Bombyx mori: one gene and its partners. The protein of the gene in region 3 binds, or shares a complex with, the protein of the main gene of each other region. Links are inferred from orthologs where the notes say so. Each region holds a gene or a part of one and is shown on either strand. Other genes may lie near its edges.

What was found.
Region 1: phosphatidylinositol-glycan biosynthesis class F protein (region 3) and GPI ethanolamine phosphate transferase 2 share a complex: the UniProt entries of both Homo sapiens proteins name them as parts of the ethanolamine phosphate transferase 2 complex. The link is inferred for Bombyx mori from reciprocal best matches to the Homo sapiens genes PIGF and PIGG.
Region 2: phosphatidylinositol-glycan biosynthesis class F protein (region 3) and GPI ethanolamine phosphate transferase 3 share a complex: the UniProt entries of both Homo sapiens proteins name them as parts of the ethanolamine phosphate transferase 3 complex. The link is inferred for Bombyx mori from reciprocal best matches to the Homo sapiens genes PIGF and PIGO.

Annotation. Positions count from the first base shown.
Region 1 is NC_085125.1:9,588,225-9,592,045, forward strand, and holds part of GPI ethanolamine phosphate transferase 2, read right to left. Parts: intron 2,970-3,821; coding exon 2,779-2,969; intron 2,002-2,778; coding exon 1,412-2,001; intron 620-1,411; coding exon 507-619; intron 1-506.
Region 2 is NC_085125.1:5,254,793-5,258,124, reverse strand, and holds part of GPI ethanolamine phosphate transferase 3, read right to left. Parts: coding exon 3,168-3,332; intron 3,093-3,167; coding exon 2,941-3,092; intron 2,866-2,940; coding exon 1,844-2,865; intron 1,437-1,843; coding exon 1,245-1,436; intron 1-1,244.
Region 3 is NC_085115.1:1,480,504-1,484,116, reverse strand, and holds phosphatidylinositol-glycan biosynthesis class F protein, read right to left. Parts: upstream 1,862-3,613; 5' UTR 1,728-1,861; coding exon 1,014-1,727; 3' UTR 876-1,013; downstream 1-875. Other genes in the region: 5-aminolevulinate synthase, non-specific, mitochondrial, read left to right, coding at 3,461-3,613.

The sequences.
Region 1 (3,821 bases), on a different chromosome or scaffold from region 3:
CGATCCGGTGGTAGATTCTGCGAAGCACTGCTCTTGCTAGGGTTCGTGTTAGCAACGTCGTCAGATTTGAACCCCGTGAGCTCACCTACTAGTTAAGGTTACGCTAAAATGGTCTTTCAAAACCATCAGCTTAGGCAGGAAGAAAAAAAACTTCAGAGGTGTCAAGGGACACCCGGATGGAACGAAGTTCCTTTCGATTAATTAGTGAAGGAATTGTAATTTTTTTTTTAAGTTATAATAATAAATTACGGCATTATGAAGAAGAAAAAAACAATACTATGAATTATATTACTATTGTTGAAACGCTATCTCGAGAAACTGTACTCATTACGCGGACCAATCGGATACGAGCAATGTCACGCGATAAGCCCCTACACGTTGATTGGTCAGAATGACGGATCTAAAAAGTGTTGTGACAACTTTTTGTAAGAATTTTTTCCGTCTAGCCCCCTTTCACAACGCGCGATAAGGAACTTCGTTAAAAAAAAATATCGTTTAGCACTTACCAATGATCACGTGGAGTTCTAAGTATAGCGAGTTCTCAGGTTCGTTGAGCCAGTCCGCTGTGTCCGGCAGGAACAACCAGCGGTCCCCGGTCTGGTTCATGGTGCGCAAATATCTGAAATTATTTCACGTAATTATTCTAAATATCAATGCTTAGCTGGACGAATGAGCTCACGGCTCATCTATACTAATATTAGAAAGAGGAAAGATTTGTTTGTTTGTTTGTATTGAATAAGCTCCGAAACTACTGAACCGATTTGAAAAATTCTTTCACTGTTTGGAATCTACACTATACCCGAGTGACATAGGCTATAATGTTTTTTGAAAAAAAATTAGGGATCCTTACTAAAACTCCAATAATGTAACTCAAGGTGTAAAAAAAATTACCTAAAATATTCTTTAAATCGCGTGCCCTGCGAAAACTATTGATGATAGAATAAAATAATGTACTACGACTTTGTAGAACACATTGTTATTTACAAAAAGTGTCGGGAAGTGTTCTTTTATATAAAAAAATAAAATAACGTCAAATATCGTTGAAATTTTTGTTCAAGACCGGAGCGGAGCCGGAGCGGGCCGCTAGTCTGGTATCAAATGAGAACGATGTTGAGATCTGAATTATATTGTGTACCGAATTATGTCGCACGCTTCGCATCGGAACGCATTACTGTTTCACGGCAGGTCTCAGCAGGATGATGGTACCTACCTACCCTTCAACATGTCTAGAACATTAAAACTAATGTATCTATATAATTATACCATATCTATTAAAACTACTACTTGTATTAAATCCTCCTTGTAAAATATTAAATGTACCTTTGTGCTTAAAGCTGATTAAACAAAGAAATAAATAAATAAAAAAAATCCTGCTTATGGTATTTAATTATTGATAATATATTTCACTAACCTATGTAAGGCTATGAGTAGGACCCATTTCGGGACAATACTGATACCGACGGCGCTCATTTTCTCATCTAAGCCAGGTTTCTCTTGTACTTCAGTCGCGCCGGTCATCTTCTTACTCCAATACATAACGACAACCACGATGCTCCGTATCAAAACGAAAAACATGAATGTGTTCCAGAAGAAATACCACGTCATGTGCTCTTCCTCGATGAAACTCGTGCCGAAGAAAGACCACGCATGGAAAACTGTCCCGCCGATCAGTAGAAAATCGATCGCGTTCAGCTCGTTTAGCGACGACAGATTTTTTATTCTCTCGATGCCGGTTTTCATGATGAAGTATGTTATTGTGAACGCTGCCGCGACGACTAAAAGGACCGGTAGCCAGAGCCCGTTGAACGAGCACAGCTGACTTTTGGTTTCGGTTATGAAACAGGCGACGATCAAGCCGCTACCGGACAAGCAGAGCATGAATAGAAACGCCACTATTCTACCGGCGTTAGAGCTTTGGTAGCCTCGCTTCGTCGTACTGTGTTTCCTGCTGTGGTCCGGCTGGAGTGAGTATAGAGTTACGCACAGAAGCGACGCGACAATCTGCAATGTAAAATGTAAAATCAATCGAGTTGTACTTTTTTTTCCTGATAGCCTCGAGGCTATATCAGCGATGCCCTAGTGTGTAGGTGAGCTCTCGGGACTCAAACCAGAGGTGTCGCTAACAGTGGCCCTAACGAGAACAGTGCTTCGCAGAATCTACCACCGAAAAGAGGTGTTGTACTACGGATACGGCTTCACATTCGCGGTCGAAATTTGGGGAAAAGGCATTGGAATAAAAATAAATTTAAGATTAGTTTTTTTCCCCTATCTATGCTGATAGCCTATATCAGCGTTACTCTAGCGTGTAGGTGAGCGTTCGGGGCTCAAACCGGAGGTAACATTAGTGTGACGAATGTACGTACGTATAAGGTAGTAGATTATTTTGACCACAAATGACGTCACACTTTACGAAGTTATTTTCAGTCGAGTTTTGTAGTTCAAATGACGGATTTGAAAATAAGATCGGGTCGTTCGGTATTGATTTGTTCCTAATGATGATAAATAGCTCGAGAATGAATTTCTTCTTCTTCTTCTTATCAGCCTACAGACGTCCACTGCTGGACATAGGCCTCCCCCACGCCTCGCCACAAAGACCGGCCCTTCGCTGCCTGCATCCAGCGGATCCCCGCGAATCTCAGTAGATCGTCGGTCCATCTTGTGGGAGGCCTACCCACGCAAGTCTTCCGGTACGCGATCGCCACTCAAGAACTTTCTGGCCCCAACGGCCATCCGTTCGTAGAGAATGAATTTAATTAAAATTATTTAAATGCAACTTACAAAATAAAGCAGTATTATAGCAACTACTATAGAGAACATGTCGAAGTCGACCGTGGTTCCGTTGAGGTACTCGGTCATCTCCGCCAGCGACTGTTCGTAGAACTCTTTTGATATTTTCGCGGCGCTTTGCTGACCGGTCGCCAAATAGTGGGCAAATTGATTTTCGGCCCTCTCGAATTGCTTGTAAAACTCTATAAGAAAGGACACAGTTGTTTTAGTAACAAAGAATAAATTTTATGTATATAGGTATTTAATGTCTAACGTTTTATAGACAGCCGTTATTCTAGTTTTTTTTTATGATTGAAAGGTTACTGGTGGCCCAGAGGCCTTTCCAGTTTCACCAGGACAGGTGGGCGAGCAAATGCTCACCCAGGAGGGGTGTGATTTGCTAACAACTGCCCGAGCGCCTCCGAAGGAGGCCTAACAACTCAAGAGCAATTGCTTCGCGAATGAATCTACTACCGGCTGATGCTTGGGTTAGTTTGCACGTCGACCTCTTTGTCGAGTTCTACGAGTACGTTATTCTAGTGCAATTGGGACCTTTATCACGTTATAAAGTGGGTCGGAATAATCACCATTAGCATTATATTCAATCGTACAATAAAAATCGAGCCTGCAAAAATTATAATTTGGGTGATTATTGGCAATAGGGCGTTTTATGAACCCGCCTGGGCCACAGCCCTGTCTATTTATACCGCGAAGCAGTAATGCGTTCTGGTATCCAGGGTGGGAGAATTTTTATTTAATACAGTTGAGACATTAGCAGACTGTTATGACTGTCGGTACTTGAACCATAGTACCATGGTTCACTTGCGGACTATCAATAATACTGATAGCCTGTTACGTAAATATAAGGTAGAATTTGTATGAAATAATATCATAATCTTAGTTGAGAAGGCCTACTTGTTTGTTAATACATATTCTTTGTTTATTTTATTGTTTTTTCATTAATGAATTATTATAATTATCATTATTATGGGACACCGAGGCGGGTGGCAGTCCCCGGTCACCTGTCGAAACTATAAAAATACTAGTGATAGAAC
Region 2 (3,332 bases), on a different chromosome or scaffold from region 3:
AAACTAGAACTTCAGAGATATGCCTATTATGAAAAAAAAGGGTTGGTGTACTTATGTACGCGCGTAAGAAGTTATACTTTATTTTTATTAAATTTATTTCTTTTTTTTTTATTTACATTTTAATCAATTTGAAAAAAAATCGATTAAACAACATCCACAAACACGCATATTGGACATCTCTTTTCTTGACATCGTATAAATTCGGTAATTCTCGGTACGGTTCGGAAAGTTCACCTGCGGCTATATTCAGACTCGCCAAGTTACGTCGGTCGTATTGTAATGAGCGATTTAGTGGGCAACTTCATTCTGTTAATTTTGTGTCACGGTGCGCGCGCATCGTAAAATTTCACTCTCATAAATTTTTCATAACGCGCCTAAAGAAGTATAACTTCAAAAACATTTTTAAACATATAAACAAGAAAAGATCTAAGTCAAAACGTAGAAATTGATTAATGTCCTTAATTAAATAAACCGGAACTTCAGAAATATGCCTATTAAGAAAATAACAGAAATAAATAAATAAATATAGAAAGTTAGTACGTAGAACTTTTTGTTTCAGAATCCATGTTCCAAATTTTTTGGGAAATTTATCACAAAATTCTAATACACACACACGAGTGTGTTAAATCAATAAGACAGTGGTCAAATCACATATATTGTTCTCCACAGATATTCAGGTGGTACATTCAATTATTATCGTTGTTTTTGGGGTGGAAAGATGCTGGCAGCCCGAAGGCCTTTCCAGCTTGACCAAAATCGTGCGAGTGCCTTAAGGGCTAAGCCCTTTCCTTTCCCTTACATTCCCAGTATAACCTAACGTCTTTTATTGAACCACAGATTACGGATATTAGGGCCAATTGTAAGCCCCTACCTATTTCTGCAGCAATCATTCCGGTTAGAATATAATGCAGCCGGAATTTCAACCGTATATCTATGCGCATAAGGTATTTAGAAAATTACGTTCAAAGTCGCATTAATAATAATGAAACATGCATGTGTACATTTAATTTCATGTTTTCAAGTGCCTAGATTAGATATCAAATTTCGTGTCACATGTATGGCCTAGTCTAATGATAAGATGTCCTTATCTTCTACCGCATTATTTCGTAACGTACCTGCAAAATTGCTTACGTACTTTGAACACACAATTTATTGTGAAAAGAATGTTGAGAATTATAATTTAGACTGATATATCGACTAGTTAAGGTATCCGCCTACTCTACTATTGATCTTATTCCACTTACCAAATAATTCCAAGGAGACAAGAGCACCAGTGACAAAAGGTCCAATAGGGAGGTAGTTGGGATCACCGGCGTGGAAGGCCGGGGCCCATCGTACGTGGCCCAACGTGGCATGGTGGCCCGTTCCATAAAATTGGTAAGACGCCAGCAGAGCCCACATGCACGCCACACTCGAGCTGCATCGAGTTGATAATGCTGAAAATTCACAAATTATTATTCTTCTTTTTTATGATTGAAGGATTACTGGTGGCCCGGAGGCCTTTCCAGTTTCACCAGGACAGGTGGGACTTGCTAACAGCAGCCCGAGCGCTTCCGAAGGAGACCTAACTACTCAAGAGCAACTGCTTCGCGAATGAATCTACTACCGGATCGGAATCGCGACCCGCTGAGAAGATTCGGGGAGAAATTCGGCGAGTTGATGCAACCTCTTTGTCGAGCTCGACGAGTATAGTTACGGGGGTCCCTAAGCCTGCTCCTAGTGTTAGAGCTGAAGGCGTCTAGTACAAAGGTTATTGGATCTGATGGATCCGTAAGGACGTGATTAGAAATTATTAGAATGATTCAACTTACAGTAAGAATAGTAACGGTTTTAAAATACTCACAGAATTTAGAGTTCCCATTCTTCATCATGGAAACAACGTTAAGAGCCAAATATCCAGCCAATAGTCCTAAAGCGGCAGACGGAGCAAAAGACGCACCAAGAACGAGGGCGTTGGCAATGAAGAAGAGTAAACTGCACACAATTAACGGCAGTATTGCTCCAAACCTTTCCCTTTTCCAAAGCAAAACGAACATCGATCCGAGTATCAGCCATGATCCACGGGCTAGTTGTCTTGATCTGCTGGGCGAACCTAAAGCCCCCCAACCGAGGGCCCAATGGGCGCATGCAAACAAACCAGCCAAGACGACACCATGACCTCGCCAACCGACATGTCGTCTCGCTATTGCAACCACAGCTGCCATTGAACCTAAAGCCATTACTAACGCTGTCCGGGAAGCCTGTCCAGTTGAGCCAACACCTATTGAAGTCCAACAATCTCCTTGTTCCTCTCTACATCCCCTATACGATCTACTAATTACTAATGTGGCTCCGAAACCCACCCACAAAGTGAAAGCCTTAATCGTCCCAATATTCCAAGCAATCGTGCCCAATACCGATAACGCTAGAAAAGATAATTCAGCTCCTTCTTCTATAATGTAACTATTAGATAATAACACAGCAGCTGAGGCCATTAAGGCGCCACGGGAGAATCTCTCGTAAATTGGCGATCTCCCTTCATACCACCGTTGTGAAATACCGTCCCAATGCATGATCACCAAAACGCAAGTCAACGCACTAGATATTAAGCCCGTGCTTAAAATAACGCCATGATGAACATCTTCTAACAGTTCAAAATGAAAGACAGTGTAACATACGCTTACGCAAATAGCCATTGATATCAGGCCACAAGAAACGAAAGTACTTGCAAAAATATTTGGAAGACGTTCTATGGGTATGCCTTCAACAATCAACCAATTAAAAAATATCACCAGAATAAGTAACAAAAGTGCTCTAAGCATTGAAACTGTGTCAAACTCAACCCAAACTTCCCGAAAAACTATGCGCACGTTGTCCATTAACAATCTGAAACAAAGAAAATCCTTTAGCAAAAACGTGCACCCAAAATATAGGATATAATGATACAATAAACATACTCACCTAACATTCGAAACGTAAATAGAGAGATCATCTTCAGTCTTTACCGTTGCAGCTTTCTCTATCTGTTCTCTTGTCGCGTTAATAAGATGCGCCAATCGATCTAAAGATACCTGTTGAGATTCTTCACCGTAACGGACTAAGTATTGAGAAACCTGCAAAGGTTACATTCTTGTAGACTACAAAAAACAGACAATGGTTTCCACAAAACTGTATTAAGAACGTGTTACCTGCTTGAGGCTGTTAGTTAAATGCAGTAGCGTCTCGGCTACGGTCATTTTTGGCAGTACTGGAAACAGAATGTTGCCAAGGGATGGTGCGGGCGGTGGACGACCAAAAGCAGCACTCATTGTTGGCGCTAAATCAGTCTGTTCAACTTCTCTACCTGTTTGTAT
Region 3 (3,613 bases):
AAAAGACGGCTAAGACCTTTGAATACCACCAAGGAAAGAGTTGGGATGATGTTTTTAGACACTAAGCATATAACCTAAACAGACCTAGACGGGAGATTGTATGTGTTCGGTCTGTGTTGTTTTAAACAAATTTAAATTGATTTTTGGGTAACGTTTCTGGCTTTTAAAATGAAACACCTAAATTAAAGACGCGACCGACGCATAAAACGCCAGTTGTACTCATATCCATCGATTTTACCATGCTGGTGCGCAAAACCAGCAGGCAGGTAATTTTCTAATGAAATACGTACGTAACAAATGTTTAGGAAAGTTTCCTCCTCAAAAAATATTTGCCAAATTACTGATTTCTACCTGGCTTGGGCAATTACCACAATCCTGCCTATTTCTGCCATGTAGAAACTATGCGTTCCAGTTTGAACTGGTACACCATAACACTTATTACTATACAGTTGAGACTTAGAACTCATGTCTACTTGAAAAATAATTCGCAATGTCTATGGGCTATACACCATAGTAAATGAACTTGGTGAGCCGTGGCCTCAATCCCCTGCCAAGACAGTAAAACCTGCCATTTCATCGTTATAGGCTTTTTTATATCTAATTATCCAACAAACATAGGCATAGATTAACATGGCACTTGCTTGAAAATATAAAACAATTCAGCTGATAAAATGTTTTTATTATCAAATCCTAATTTAAAAAAGACTCTTAGCTAGAGTAGTACTTGTTATCGGGTCAATTTTTTAAATAATTAGAACAAGTAATACAGATAAGTTACCTCATTAGTGATATTGAGTTTTGTAAAAGAAAGGGTATGACAACTATACAGTCAATTTATGGATCACAATTGAAATAATTTAAAACTACAAAGTTAGATTAAAACATTTATTTTAAACAACGATATGAACAAAAAAAACTTGTTAAGAAAACTATAGTAATTTCAAACATGATACAAGTTTACCATAATTATAAATTAAAAATTATAATTTTAAACATAAGTAAAGCCTGATTAGTTACTTCGAAACCCTTAGTTTATTCAATATCATAACTAGGAAATTGACTGCTGGATATTTGTAGGCCGCTGTCATTAAGGTTGCTTTGAATACTGTCAATACATTAGCCAGCAAGTAACCACCTATAGCTCCAAGGTAGCAAGGAATCGGCCACTGCTGCCATGGAGTATTCCAGTCCAGGGGTATCACTACAGCCCCCAGCCATGCGCCGCATACGGTTAGCATGGCATTATTCACTAGCATCTCGACCACTGTGTCCCTGGCAAAGCTCTTCACACCAAACAATAGTTGCATAGAACATTCCACACCAGAATGAAGTATGAGGGGAAATATTGTGAGTATAGTTAAGAGCGTGGATAACATCAATGTTTCTTCATGTAAGTCTAATACAGGCGCGCCAAAAAGTATTATTCCAATAAAGAAACAAAAGTTAACACCTAGGAGAAACACAAACGATTTGAGGACGTCGCTTGCTTTCGTTTTACTGGTCTTGCCTTTCTTTCCTTGTATATCATTCGGGGCGCTAAGATAAAACGACTTCAGTAATTCGGCAATGAATATTAGTACCAAAATATAAAAAGAAGATCCTTTGCCCACATAGTAGAGCGACCCTCTATACGATATAACAGTCACAATACTAGGCAAGTAAATACATGTAATAAGGCTTGATATTGTTATTCGACGTAATTCTAATTGGGTATTAAACGCAAACATTTTAGTGTATCTATAATACTATTTATTACTAACACTATTTATTGTTTAACTTTTAAATTGCCAGTTTGTTTCCATTTGTTACATGTGTGACTTCATTTCATTATCAATTTATCTTGGTCTGTCAATTGATCAATTCAGTAGTAGTAGTTTTATTTTTCCAACTGGAAAGGTAAGGATGTCATAACATACAGCTCAATCTATTATATTATATTCATTTATTTTATTTAATATGAAACACGATAATATGAAATGAATTATGATGCGAAGATATGGGATGAAATATAATCTCGGTAAAATAGTGGTCATTTACTGAGACTCTTTCAGTGGACTTTTTGGAGGATCCCGAGAAGTTATGTCCAGCAGCTTTATTTTATTTTCCCACATTTGTGCAATTTCACAGATACTAAACAGTTGATAAACCACCGCCAAAAAGTCCCAGATTTTCACATTGGCATTACACCGGTCACTCACATGCGCACGAATACGCAAACCCGCAAATGTAGAACGACATTTGCAAATGATTATGCAAAGTTTTCGCTGCATTCGTGGTTTTCCAAGCTGTGTCGTTTTTTTAAAAGACATCAAAGCGCGCGAACCTCGAACCTTCACGTAGTCTCCCACACATTCGCTTGCCCAGTTGCGCCGACGATTGCGAAGGTAACGGACGTATCGCCATTTTCATAGTTCGTGACGTCTACTGTGTAGCGTATCTTCATCAAAAGAAATCCCATAAAAACAGCATAGCTGTTAATGATGTCTGGGAAAGAATTCAAAAATCTTTTTCTTTTCAATGTTCTATTGACGAATTAAAAAGGAGGAGAAATTCGTGAGACATTCGTAAACAAGTGTAGGAGGAAGCGCAAACGGGTTCGCAAATTGAGTATGCGAACCCATTTGCACAGCTGCTAAGTTTGCGAATGAATGTTTGACGGCCCTTCACATGAGCGCAAACATTCGTACAATGTACGAATATTTGCCCGCATGTGAGTGGCCGGCATTAGAAATATTGTGTATTATCTATGCATTAAGACTGAATTGACAGGACTTTTTGGCGAGAGCACGAAGAGTGAACTTGTATGATTTGGTTTTTTTGTCTATTTAATATTTCTTCAGGTTTAAATGTGTACTAACGATGATTTATTAACTGTTTAGTATTTGTGAAAATGCATAAATATATATATGAAATTAGACTGTATGGTACTACACCTTTGCTTTTCCAGTTGGAAAAATAAAGCTATACTGTCAAAACTTCATTCAGCATCAAAATCTATTTAGTCGATTGTGAATTTAAGTTTCATAAATTACAACTAAAACTAAATTTTACTGAATTACAAAACAAGTTAAGAATTATCATGGATAAAAGTAATGCAATTATTAAATAAATTTCTTCTTAATATACTTTTGATACAATTAAATCGTTCAATATTGTTGATATTTAATTCCAAATGACATTAGCTATTTGGCAACACTAAGCTTACGAAATCAAATCAAAATAAATTTTGTAGTGTGTATGACTGCGGGAGCTCAGCAAAAGTACGTTCAAATCGATATGACGACACAAACTTTATAAATGAAAGTCGCTGTCAGCTGAGCTCCCAGTTGATCGGTCACAGACCACAGTGGAACGTTCGGCTACAGTGAGAGCCAACGTTTAGTTATCCTTAAATAAATTATTTCCAACTTCAACAAGTTTCATAAGTGTTTTGTGTCATCGATTACATAAAAATCGTAAAATGCCTTGTCCGTTTTTGGGATCGTTGAACCAAGCGTTCGTGAAAAATTATGGTGCGACCCTGATGAAGCAGTACGGAAATTATTGCCCGATTATATCTCGTGGATTTCGTTCTTTGGGAAATGACGAAACCAAATGCCCCTTCATTCAGCAA